3 linked regions of the Saccharomyces cerevisiae S288C genome follow. The gene in region 3 interacts genetically with the main gene of each other region. Each region holds a gene or a part of one and is shown on either strand. Other genes may lie near its edges.

Region 1 (4,987 bases), 810 kb from region 3:
TATTATATATACATAGTATACAAGCAATTCTCCTTGAGGATATAGAAATTCACAAAAGGGAGTCGATAGTTCTCCATAATAATGTTACTTCATCTTCCTTATATACTTTGTCATTCATTATTCTATCGTATTATCAATACTGGCATTTCAGCTTCACTAAATTTTCATGACTGTTTCTTAATCTTTATACCATTTTCTTAAACCGCATATGATAATATACTAGTAATGTAGAGAATGTGGATTTTGATGTAATTGTTGGGATTCCATTGTGATTAAGGCTATAATATTAGGTATGTAGATATACTAGAAGTTCTCCTCGAGGATTTAGGAATCCATAAAAGGGAATCTGCAATTCTACACAATTCTATAAATATTATTATCATCGTTTTATATGTTAATATTCATTGATCCTATTACATTATCAATCCTTGCGTTTCAGCTTCCACTAATTTAGATGACTATTTCTCATCATTTGCGTCATCTTCTAACACCGTATATGATAATATACTAGTAACGTAAATACTAGTTAGTAGATGATAGTTGATTTTTATTCCAACAAGTAACATGAATAAAACTAAACAGATGATATTTTAAAGTTTCATTGCAACAAACATGTTTAATGTCCTATTACTTCCAAAATTAATTAGTTTTTCCAACGAAATAGCCTTGTTGGCGCAATCGGTAGCGCGTATGACTCTTAATCATAAGGTTAGGGGTTCGAGCCCCCTACAGGGCTATCTTTTTTTTAAACAACATCCACACTTTATTGTGGTCATTGTGATATTCTTAAGAAACTTTTATTTCATCTATGATATTTTTTTTTACGTATACATTATAAATCATCAAACTCATGTGGCATTCTCCGCGCCCTTTGATATTTCCCCCTCGTTATACTCATTCGACCGGTCCGCTTGCGATGACTGGTTTGGCTCATCTTTTGGCTCATTTGCATCTTCAGCCAGCTCGCTACAAACCTTGGATCCGAAATGGTGCTCAACCATGTGTTCCACAGCAACATAGCCGTATAAATTAACAAATCTTCTTCTTACTACGATATTGTTATGGGAATCAGGCTGGATCTGCACTAATACTTTTCTCCAAGTCATCGTTTCTTGCCATTCTCTAGCAATGCGCTCTTGAATCCTGTTGACACTCTCATTAGGATATATAAGCTTCTTAACGATAGGCCTATTCTCATAATGCGGCGGAGGTAATTCTTCCGGGTGATAAAGTTTATCATGAATGACTTCATCTTTCCTTACAGCCGGGTTTTTGATATACTCCTGATCTGGTATGGCAGCTGTCAATACCGATAATGCAGACAATACAGTATTGGCTTCTTTTGGAGGTTCGAACTTTTGACCATCAAGAAATACTCCTTGTTCATTATCCGAATCTGAGTTGGCTTCATTAGTTTGTCCTCTCTTATATTTATTTATTTTACTTCCGTGGATAACGGCCTGAGGTAAAGTCCACTGCAACGTCGCTTTTTTGTTTGGACTTTCTGCAGGAATCTCCCCGACGTTGTTACCATTTTCGTTTGAAGGTGATGATGCTCCACTACTCTCTGGGCTATCGGAGGACACAAACTCGCTTGAAGTTGGAGAGTTCTTATTTTTTTTCCTAATTTTCTGGACTTTGTGTATGCTTCGCCAATCCAGATACAAAAGTGCAGCAGTTCGTAATGGAACAATACCATCATCCATGACATTGGCATATATCGTTCTCCTCTTAAAAGACTCAAATACTTTTTTAGCCGGCGCCTGTGGAAGAATTTCTAATATGTACTTGGAATGTTCTGGGTACACTTCATCGTCTGCATACAACCCATCTTTGGACGTTAACGGTGTATATTTTAAATTCAAGTCCCTTCCTGTCAAACCAAGCGCGCCCATATCCAGTGGAACAGACAAATAAAAGGGGAAGTCGCCAATAACACCGATGAAAGGACTAGCTAACGTAATAAAATTAACGGGTTTAACACCTTTAACTGCATCAAAAAAATCTGGTCTTTTAATACTTATGTAACGCACCGCCATGGATTGAGTTGGCCCTCCTAGGGAATGGCCAATGAATGATATCCTGTCTACTTTGTACTTTTTATTCAACTTATCAACAGTCTCAAGCACATACTTTCCAACTCTAACGCCCAAGCAATGTATACCGTGACCTGATTTCCCGACGTTGCCCATAAAACCTCGAACAATTATATTCGGATTAATAGACTCATCCATAGGAAACGTCATTTCTTCAATTTTATCTTTCATATATAGCATATCACACCCGATATTAGAAAATATACCATGTGTCATAATAACGAGATGTACAGGCTTTTCTGGAAATTTTGGTGGTAAATCCCAAAGGGTTTCAGTATCCCACATCTCTAAAGAGACACCTTCAATACTCTTAAAGAGCCCATTCGATTTCTTGACCACCTTCCTTGTAGTCCCTATCCTAAACGAAAATTCCAGCTTCGGAATTGTGGTTACCGCCAACTGCGAAATTATATCTATTGTCCATGAATAAAGAGAAGTGTCGCCAACTCTAGAATTCTCATTCAATAATATTTTTACTTTAAATCTTTCGTCCGGCTTTAGATTTTCAACAAATGGAATAATTTCCTTCCCTGGAAACTTGCGATTCTCATTATAGTTATGCGGCCTAACATCGATGTAAAAAGAATATGGCCCCGTCAAATAAAGCGGTCGCAGAAGCGCGCTTTCCTCGTTCTTGATCCTCAAGAATAGATGCGATACATCTAGCCCTTGTTCCTTAATTACATCTTTGTTCACGGAAAACTTGTAGCGATATAACTCACCTATTCTTAATCTCTTCCGCTCATCAACCAATAAGGTACCTCCGGTTTCATTTATCTCGAGCGAATTTTTCATTCGGTTGATTTTGTAAGGCATTAAGGGATCGAACCAAAATGGAGCAATTCTTTTATAATAAGAAGATGAATAACAGCCGAGTAAGTGATTCTCCTCCGCATTTCCTGCTGTTCATTGTTTTATCATACTGAATAAACAATCCTTAGAAAATAGCATCGATATATTCGCGCTTAACAAAGCGAAGAATTGAAACATTTTTTCAGGTGGAGGGACCGGGTAGTGCCGGATCAAGTAGTGTAGTATTTATTGTAGTACACTCTTACAACAACCCTTTAAGACGAATGGTGTGAAATCGGAAATTACTTTGTTGAAGTAAGGTGTAACTATATTTTAAGAACGTTTAAGCTGGATATCAAGATCTGAGGAGGTAGTATGAGTTCTGACGCTTCCACGTACAGACTTGAGGATGTTTTATCCAGCTTCTATAGAGTGGAGAAAATCAAAAAGATCAACTATCATCAGTACATTTCTAAAGCCCAAAACGATCAATGGTCTATCCAAATGGAATTCATGCTACGGAAGCAGGATCCAAAGACTCTAGTTGCGCTGCTTTCAAGGGATTTATGGTGTTTCAGTATAAATGATGATCCGGTACCGACACCTCCTGCGATAGAACATAAACCAGTGAGCCCAGATAAAATCGGAACTTTCACTGCCGATTATTCAAAGCCAAACTTACCGCCACACTATGCTCTTTTTTTAAAAGCTTTAAGAAGGAAAATTTACATTAATTTGGCATTAGGTTCACACAATAAGCTAATACAATTTGGGAATGCCTGCATATCATTAAGCGGAGTGCCAAATTATCTCGTACAGCTAGAACCACACCTTTTTGTAAACGGAGATCTCACAGTGTCGTTATGTGCCAAGAACATGGGATTAGTACCAATGAAGGAGGAAAATTTGGAAGAATCTTTCCTTTCAAAGCATGCGCTTTATTTAGCACCATCTGGAATAAGGATGCATTTGGCCCCTGCTTCCAAGCAAGGATACTTGATAACGCCACCAAAACATACAGAACTTCTCTTGACGACGTTAAGTGTATCTCATGGTATAAACTTACAAAATAAAAAAAATTTGAAATGGGTTGCTGTTGTTCCTGACTTAGGACATCTCAACGGCCACACACCTACTATAGCTTCGTATTTAACTCCCTTACTTGAAGCAAAGAAGCTAGTATGGCCGCTGCATTTAATCTTCGCCCAACCAGTAGCTGATATAGAAAATTCTACTTCCGGAGATCCATCAGAATTTCACTGTTTGCAAGATGCTCTGGATGCCATTGATGATTTCATACAATTAAAGCAAACAGCTGCCTATAGGACTCCAGGAAGTTCCGGCGTATTGAGCAGTAATATTGCTGGTACAAATCCCTTAAGCTCAGATGGAGCATATACAGAACAGTTTCAACATTATAAGAACAACTCAATTAGTTCTCAACCCGCTTCTTATCATTCTGTCCAAGAAACTAATAAGATATCTCCGAAAGATTTCTCCCCTAATTTCACAGGCATTGATAAATTAATGCTGTCGCCCAGCGATCAATTTGCTCCAGCTTTCTTAAATACCCCTAATAATAACATCAATGAGAATGAATTATTTAATGATAGGAAACAAACTACAGTATCAAATGACTTAGAGAACAGCCCACTGAAAACGGAACTGGAGGCAAATGGTAGATCACTCGAAAAGGTAAATAATTCCGTGAGCAAGACAGGAAGCGTAGACACACTTCATAATAAAGAGGGAACACTGGAACAACGAGAACAGAACGAAAATCTGCCAAGTGATAAAAGTGACTCTATGGTAGACAAGGAATTGTTTGGTGAGGATGAGGATGAGGATTTATTTGGCGATAGCAATAAATCGAATTCTACAAACGAATCGAACAAAAGTATATCGGACGAAATTACCGAGGATATGTTCGAAATGTCTGATGAAGAAGAAAATAATAACAATAAAAGCATTAATAAAAATAACAAGGAAATGCATACTGATCTTGGTAAAGATATTCCATTTTTTCCCTCATCTGAAAAACCGAATATCCGTACGATGAGCGGAACTACAAAAAGATTAAATGGAAAGAGGAAATATTT
Region 2 (4,339 bases), on a different chromosome or scaffold from region 3:
AGTCGCAGGTGCAGAATTTTTTAGCCCAACAGTTAAAAAACACAACGAGAGCAATTGAAAGACATCATCCAGTACGGAGTCAACTCTATTATGCAATTCAGTACTATGAATCAGGGTGGCGGCGCTCTTAGCGGGCGTCTCATGACTATTCTTCCTAATATCGTCCAACTCTCTGACTTTGGTCAAGACGTGTTGGTAAGTAGTTTGGACATCCTTAGAGTTCAAATACTGGGTCCTATTTTGCTTGAGTTTAGCCAAGGAGGATCTCACTTCAAGGAGGTAGTTTAATATGGATTCCTCTTCCTTAGGAACAATTTGAGGGTGTTGTTGTCCAGCGGATGCAAACATGCTCTTTTTAGACAGTTATTCTCTTCTAATACAATTTCAGCGTTTTAAAAATTGGGAAAGTCCTCGAAGATTTAGTAGTTCTTTTCCTTTGCTTTTGTTTGTTTTTAAACCGATATTTGCTGCTAAACTTCTTAAAGAGATTTGCTCTTCTGGTGTACTCTCTTATTCGTTATCATTTCTGAAAATTCCCCTTTCCGTGATGCGGGTAATACTAGGTCCCTTACCCGACGACAAGAAATTAAAAAATGACGCAAAATATTCATTTATGAACTATTTTATTATAACTTGTATAGGAATAATAATGTAGTGATGTAAATTTATGGGCCCCATTAAGCCATCAAAAATGGAATGTATGCCTATGCTCCTCTTCTGACATAACTGGCCAGAGGCGGGACCTTAGCGGAGGGACCATTGCTGAATCACAAATTCTCTCCACTTCCTTATTTTCCTTCATATAATAAGACATAAAAAACTTGTATATTATTAGGTATTTAGCTCGTTTATTTAGGACCTAGCATGTGTTCAGGAACAACCCATTCATCAAATTCCTTTTCAGTCAATACACCCAATTCCAATGCACTTTCCTTCAAGGTAATGCCCTTCTTATGAGCATTCTTGGCGACCTTGGAAGCGGCATCATAACCGATCTTAGGGTTCAAAGCGGTGACTAACATTAAAGATTTAGTCAACAACTCATGAATACGAGGCTCATTGGCTTTGATACCTTCAACACAGTGCACTCTAAATGAATATGCGGCATCAGTAATTAACCTGATCGAATTCAATAGATTGGCGATCATGACTGGCTTGAAGACATTTAACTCGAATTGACCTTGAGAGCCGGCAAACGTGATAGCTGCATTGTTACCCATGACTTGCACACACACTTGAGTCAATGCCTCGTTTTGGGTTGGGTTAACTTTACCAGGCATGATTGAGGAACCTGGTTCATTCTCTGGCAGCATTAGTTCATGGTAGCCGCAACGTGGCCCGGACCCTAAGTATCTTATATCTTGCGCTATTTTGAAAAGAGAACAAGCAAGGGTGTTTAGAGCACCGCTACATTCGACAATGGCGTCGTGAGCAGCCAAAGCCTCGAACTTATTAGGGGCGGTTTGAAACTTTAGTCCAGTTTCTTTGGAAATTTGCTCGGCTATCTTGACATCGAATCCGGGCTTGGTGTTCAACCCTGTACCAACGGCAGTACCACCTTGTGCCAGGAAACTCAATGTTTTCAAAGAATGTGCCACTCTTTGGATACCGTTCTCAACTTGTTGCACGTAACCGGAAAACTCTTGACCTAGTGTCAAAGGCGTGGCATCTTGCAAGTGTGTTCTACCGATCTTCACAATATGGTCAAATTCCTTGGATTTGGCTTCAAGGGCGTTCTTTAAATTGGTCAACTCAGGTATCAACTCGTTTTGAATTTGCAAACTGGCAGCGATATGCATGACAGTGGGGAAAGTATCATTGGATGATTGAGATTGGTTGCAATGATTGTTTGGATGGACTTGTTTAGATCCAATCTTGCCTCCTAGGATCTCAATGGCACGATTGGAAATAACTTCATTAGCATTCATGTTAGACTGGGTACCGGAACCCGTTTGGAAAACAACCAATGGAAAGTGGTCGTCTAGCTTACCAGAAGCCACTTCGTCAGCGGCCTGTTGAATAGCCTTGGAGATCTTGGGATCCAATCCCCCCAGAGACTCATTCACAATCGCGGCAGATTTCTTCAAAACACCAAATGCATGCACCAAAGGCAATGGCATTCTTTCACGAGCGCCACCAATCTTGAAGTTTTGAAAGGATCTTTGAGTTTGGGCACCCCAGTACTTATCAGCAGGCACGTGTATCTCACCAAATGCATCGGTTTCAGTTCTGAACGAGGAGTTCATTCTTCTTATATTAAGCTTATATGACGATTTTACGAAAGTCTTGCAACTACAATTGGTAAATCTCAACATGATTGTATCTCTTATCCGTTTAATAGTTAGACTTTATGGAATTTCTTGACGTGAGAAAAAAAACAGCTGCAGTACTAAAAGTCACGAATTTAAAAATGCAAAAAAATGACTGTATGTAATGGAGAAACGATATGAATATCCCAGAAGAAAGAGCTAGAGTCACTCCCCCGTGTGTTCGGTCCGGCCTCCTGTTGGATGCTTGTTTAACGTCTACAACAGTGATGAAGATTATATATAGCCTATAAGAAACGCAAAAAGGCTTTACAGGAAAGAGCCAATCATCGAACGCCCATTCCGGGAATCGGGGTAGTCATTCCGAGGATCGGCTCAGGGGAGGGGCCTGAAGCCTCTCCAATATGGTAGTGATAGCAAGAACTAGAGACATTTACTGCTAGCTTCCATAGCTCTCTAACCACAGGGTACGAATAATAACCATTATTAGGTACTGACATTATGATGTCGCCCGCGGCGATTCGGAAGGGTTTAAGGACACGTCTTAACAAATGGCATTACAGAATGGCTATAGGCGACTCACTACTATGTATTGACTATGTAGGAGATACCAAGCTTTGCTTTACGAGCCCTCTTTACTTTTTTTCTTGTATAGTTATAGTTAATGTAGTAGTCGCAATAACTGCGGTAGTAGTACTAACATCAGTAAAAGTAACGCTTGGTAGTTTTTCTGCCCGGTTTAACCATTGATTTGATGAAATTGTAGAAAACTGAAAAAAAAAAAAAAAATGAAAAAAAAAAATGATGAGCTTCTCGAAGAATACATTAACCACTTATAGGAAGGAGAAGAGATCTACTAGACTCGTAGAAGTGATTAATGGCAAAGAAGAATAAGAAGGATAAAGAGGCCAAAAAGGCACGTGCTGAACTGAAGAATCAGAAAAACCAAAAAAAGCAGGAGAAAAAGTTTCAGAAGAACAAGAATAAGTCTTTAAACGGCGAAGAAGATGATGAAAGTGATCAAGATCTCGATGAAATTCTCTCTAGCTTTAGCAAAAAGCAAATTGAATTAGAGCATGTAGACATCACTTCTGTGGAAAAACCCTCTTGTCGTACTCATCCGTTGATGTTTGCAAATCCGCAACACAATAAACATGAATTGTTCATTTTCGGTGGTGAATTTACAGATCCAGAAACCAAACTAACACATTTCTATAATGATTTGTATTCATACTCCATAAAGAACAACTCTTGGAAAAAATACGTTTCGCAAAATGCACCTTTGCCCAGATCCAGTGCCGCTGTCGCTGTGCATCCTTCCGGAATAGCACTGTTACACGGTGGTGAATTTTCGTCCCCAAAACAATCTAAATTCTACCACTATTCTGATACATGGCTGTTTGACTGCGTTGAAAGGAAATTCACTAAGTTGGAGTTTGGCGGTAGAGACTCTTCACCCAGCGCCAGATCAGGTCATAGAATTATTGCTTGGAAAAACTATTTCATATTATTTGGTGGATTTAGAGATTTGGGGAATGGTCAAACTTCTTACCTAAATGATTTGTGGTGTTTTGATATCTCAACCTACAAATGGACCAAATTGGAGACAAACAGCAAACCTGACGCTAGATCGGGTCATTGTTTCATTCCTACAGATAATTCTGCCATATTAATGGGTGGTTACTGTAAAATCATTGCCAAAAATAATAAAAATTTAATGAAGGGAAAAATCTTGAATGATGCATGGAAACTGAACTTAACGCCTGATCCAAAGAAGTGGCAGTGGGAAAAATTAAAGAATTTCAAGAACCAGCCCTCACCAAGAGTCGGGTATTCGTTCAATCTATGGAAGCAAAACAAGTCCGTTGCTTTTGGTGGTGTCTACGATTTACAAGAGACAGAGGAATCCTTAGAGTCCGTTTTCTATAACGACCTATATATGTTCCACCTAGAGTTGAACAAATGGTCTAAACTTAGAATTAAACCTCAGCGTCAAACGAATAGTAAAAATTCACCCGCCACAAGTAAAAGAAAATCTAATAAAGATCAAGAAAAGGAACTGCAGGATTTAC
Region 3 (3,859 bases):
AAAAGCTTATAGGAACAAAAACATCCTTACATCTTCGGGTATTTCTTCTAGGGTTGAAGTATAATAATTAACTATACTATTGTTCGGAGACAGTTCTGATGCCTAGTAAAACGCTTGCAGCTCTAAAAAAATTTGTCTTATTTTTTTCTTCTTCAATGAGCTGTTACCATTGCTGTAAGAGATGCTCGAAAGGTAGTACCTTCAGTGAATTATCTGACGTACATCACGTGAACTGTTTTGCGTAGTAAATTGTTCAACGATAATATATCGTTGTTAGTGATCAAAAAGTAACTATGCAAACTGCAAATGTCAAAAAGCCACAGTTTCTAAAAGAAAAGCAATGAATGAAGAAGGTTTGGGGTTGTAAATGTTAATGCAGCGACGTCTGTTTTTTTGTTATGACAGGAAGTCAGGAGGTAGTCACAGTCTCGTATTAAGCAAAAGTGGTCTGTTTAGGTGGCATAATAGCCTTGTTGCAGCACTACTTGCTACCGAGGCGCAGCCTTACAACTAAAATGTCCAGACATGATCTTAAGCGGAAGGGAGGGGTTTTTGCTTCCGTTTTTTTGACATTAAAAGTTTTCTTAATGCCGCGCGTTTGAAAGGAAACTGATCTGAAAGTGATTTATGATGCCAAAAAAAAAAAAAAATCTTTTGAAGTACAATGTATGTATGCATGAGTTTATAAAAAATGATGTAAAGTGCGGAATAGTAGTACTGCTAATGAGAAAAACACGGGTATACCGTCAATTATTGTCCCTTTTTCAAATGTGTTCTATAGTGTTGCAAGCAATTATCATGTCGACTGAATCGCTGCGTGCATCCCTTATACGGACAACAATGATTTTTTTCGCCCGTATGAATTCTATTATGCCTTGCTAAATGACCCGATGTAGTGAATCCTCTTGCGCAAATTTTGCAAATGTATTTGCGCCTTTGTTCAAGGTCTTCCTCATCTGATAACGTATTTCTTGGATCTGTTCTTTGCTTCCGCGTTTTCAGAGAGTATCTACTATTTGCCATCTTATTATATGCATCATTAGAAACTATTCCGTTCTCAGGCTGTTGTATTATTGATGAATTACAAGTTAGTTGTGATAGCGAGCTTTTTTCGGATGAATCTGAATTATATTGTACCGATGAATTGTCAAAAGAGACGCTTCTTGTTTGTAAATTAGGCGTTATTAAGTATTTTGGCTCCCACTTTTCAGAGCCATTTTCTGATTTGGTTTGGTATCGGAAATCAAAAGCAGTCTTATTTAATTTGTGTTTTAGTTCATTCTCTACCACATGAGAATTAGTTAGAACTGGTAGTAGCGTCTGATATTTTCTTTCCGGGCTTATTTCAACGTTTTCTTCATCTTGCATTCCATCAAATGCGGAGATTCCCGGCAGTGCGGGCATAGTAGAAACATTGAGGTTACTATAGTTATATGGGTAAAACATTGCCTGAAAGTTTGCGAAGGGTAGTAATATGCTGGTCGAGAGGAACAATCCAAGAAAGGTGAATGGTAGAAAAAGGCGCCGTAATGGTAGGAATTACAGTACAATAATACTTTGCAGAATCGTATACGATATGATTTTTACTTTCAAAAGCTGCAGAATTCCCTTATAGCATCAAAAAACTGTAAACGAGGTGGAGTAATATAATTTCTTTTAGTTAAGAGATGGGAACCAAATTTTTTTTAATTTGGGTTTGGAAAGTTCTCTTCCTTATATATGAATAACGGAAAAGGAGCCTGCAGCCAGACTGTAGAAAGATGACACTGCCAAGAGAATAATTAAAAGAAAAAACACCCCAAACACCCTGACCGGCGGCGAAGCCCCTCTGCGCGCTCAACGCGTTTCGTTTCACGCTTAAGGGTCCTCAAGAGGCCATAGTCTTTTACCGATAAGAAAAATCTAGACCCAATGAATTTTTCCCTTCTTTTCCGGTGCGGCCTTTTCACTGCTAAACAGTAAAAAGCATTTCTTGGCTTTCCCTGAGGGTGTTGACCGCAACCAAGCCAATACTTCATTTTGCTTTTTCCTCTTTTAGAAAACAGAGTTTTCCCTGTCTCAAACGTTTCAAAGACAAATATGCGGAAAATCAACTTATAAGTAGAAAAATACTAGCGATTTTTCTAGTTAGAATATTTAGGGGAACTATGCGAAGACAAACGGTGAAGTCAAAAGAAACACACTGCCTCGATTAGAAAGGCTTATCTGCCACAGTTTAATTTTTTTTTAATTTTATTTCTTTTTTTTTTATTTAACTAGAATCTGGCTAAAAATAAGCAACGGTCCGTGTAGATTACTGTTTCGAACGAGGAACAACTGAAGGAAAAGTTTTTTATTTTCCGCGAAGTTCGTATATTTTAGTTTTCTTTTACTCCAAGGGTTCGTGACGTCGAATTCCTATCAGCTTTTTTTTGCGCTTGGCGTTCTAGGTCCCTGTGCCCGTCTGAAACTATTCGTACATAGCATTACTAGAGTACATAATATCGTCTACCATACATACGACGGGTAGCCAGATTTTGTGCCGGATTGTCGGGGAAAAGACGGCAAATGAGCTCATACGTAATGGTGCGATTTTGATTCTTAGCTTTCTATTTCTGGAGAAAAGTACTCCAAGGTGGGGAAGGGGGGAGGCTGGGACTAGTTGTTATATGATGTAGCCTAAATGTAACGAGGCGTGGCTCTTTCATCTTATCTCAATGAATAAGTGTAAATTGCCTCGCCTGGTTTAATCTTTTCTCCACATGCAGTAATAGGTATAAAAGGAGTTGAAATTAAAAATAATAATAAATAATGATATAAAAATTATAAGTTTCTCCTTTCGGAACTAAAAAATAATATTAATAATAATATATAAATATTATATCTTTTTTATAATATAACATAGATACGAGTTTTTATGTTCCTTTGGCAATAGCTTTTCGTGACTTGTTTTAAATACAAGGCATATAGGCGCAGCTTCACCAAGATATTCTGGCTTAAACCAGCACTATGTATATTTTGGTGTTTGATACCGATATCGGCAGCTCGAAGCGTTTTTATGAACTGTAAAAATATGTCCTACATAGTTGTTTGGTAATTTTTTGGTTTTTTAAGATTGTTTTATGAATAGGTGTTTTACCAGAAGGCTATCGCCAGGTAACTCTTTTAACTAAATCGAAAAGATTTATTTGACGTGTCATATTGTAAAAACTAAATGGAAGACAGAAACTAACTTTGTCGACACCTATTTTAAACAAGTATCAAACGCGGGCTATAATTTTTATGAGAGCAATCAATGCAATGGAGTCTATTTCCGGTTAAATGGCACGATTGTGCGTAAAAACACGAGAAAGTGGAAGCATCTTTTTCTTAATGACGGATAATTACCCGAAACAGTGCAACTGCAAGTGCATACTCTTGAAGGACTTACATATTGAGAGGGAACACATTACTACCTTTCAAGAACACTCGCATTTACGGCGTACATATGGTTCCGCGGTAGACCCTAGGTTGAATTGAAAACCATGTTTTGAAGGAAAGCAAAGGCAGAATGAGAACATGGAGATGTAAATATTTTCCCAGTTAGGCATGACCCAAAATCGCAATCCAGATGCAATTTATTATGACACGTAGACCTTTCCGTATCTAACGTAATAAACGATATCTATTTTCGAGGCGCTCGACATCTCGTATCTGGGACAGAAAGTGAGGTAGATTATTCAAGAATACCTATTAAGAAAGGTAGAAGGTATTGCACCGATTCCTAGTATCAATTCTTTTCAAAACCACTTATTTTGCAAAACATGCGTCTAACCTGCCATTTCAGCAACGTAAATAATAATTACTTCCATATATATTCTTCTCCCCCAGTAGCAATTTT

What was found.
Region 1: mutations in NRG1 (region 3) and YDR444W together harm fitness more than expected from each alone (negative genetic interaction), as found in Saccharomyces cerevisiae (2 studies listed by BioGRID).
Region 2: mutations in NRG1 (region 3) and FUM1 together harm fitness more than expected from each alone (negative genetic interaction), as found in Saccharomyces cerevisiae (2 studies listed by BioGRID).

The regions. Positions count from the first base shown.
Region 1 is NC_001136.10:1,348,215-1,353,201, reverse strand, and holds YDR444W (putative hydrolase), read right to left. Parts: upstream 2,913-4,987; coding exon 849-2,912; downstream 1-848. Other genes in the region: SSN2 (Ssn2p), read left to right, coding at 3,264-4,987.
Region 2 is NC_001148.4:45,312-49,650, reverse strand, and holds FUM1 (fumarase FUM1), read right to left. Parts: upstream 2,316-4,339; coding exon 849-2,315; downstream 1-848. Other genes in the region: CUB1 (Cub1p), read right to left, coding at 1-348; YPL261C (uncharacterized protein), read left to right, coding at 347-655; KEL3 (Kel3p), read left to right, coding at 3,145-4,339. UniProt on the Saccharomyces cerevisiae protein: Catalyzes the reversible stereospecific interconversion of fumarate to L-malate.
Region 3 is NC_001136.10:541,924-545,782, forward strand, and holds NRG1 (transcriptional regulator NRG1), read right to left. Parts: upstream 1,447-3,859; coding exon 751-1,446; downstream 1-750. UniProt on the Saccharomyces cerevisiae protein: Transcriptional repressor involved in regulation of glucose repression. Binds to UAS-1 in the STA1 promoter.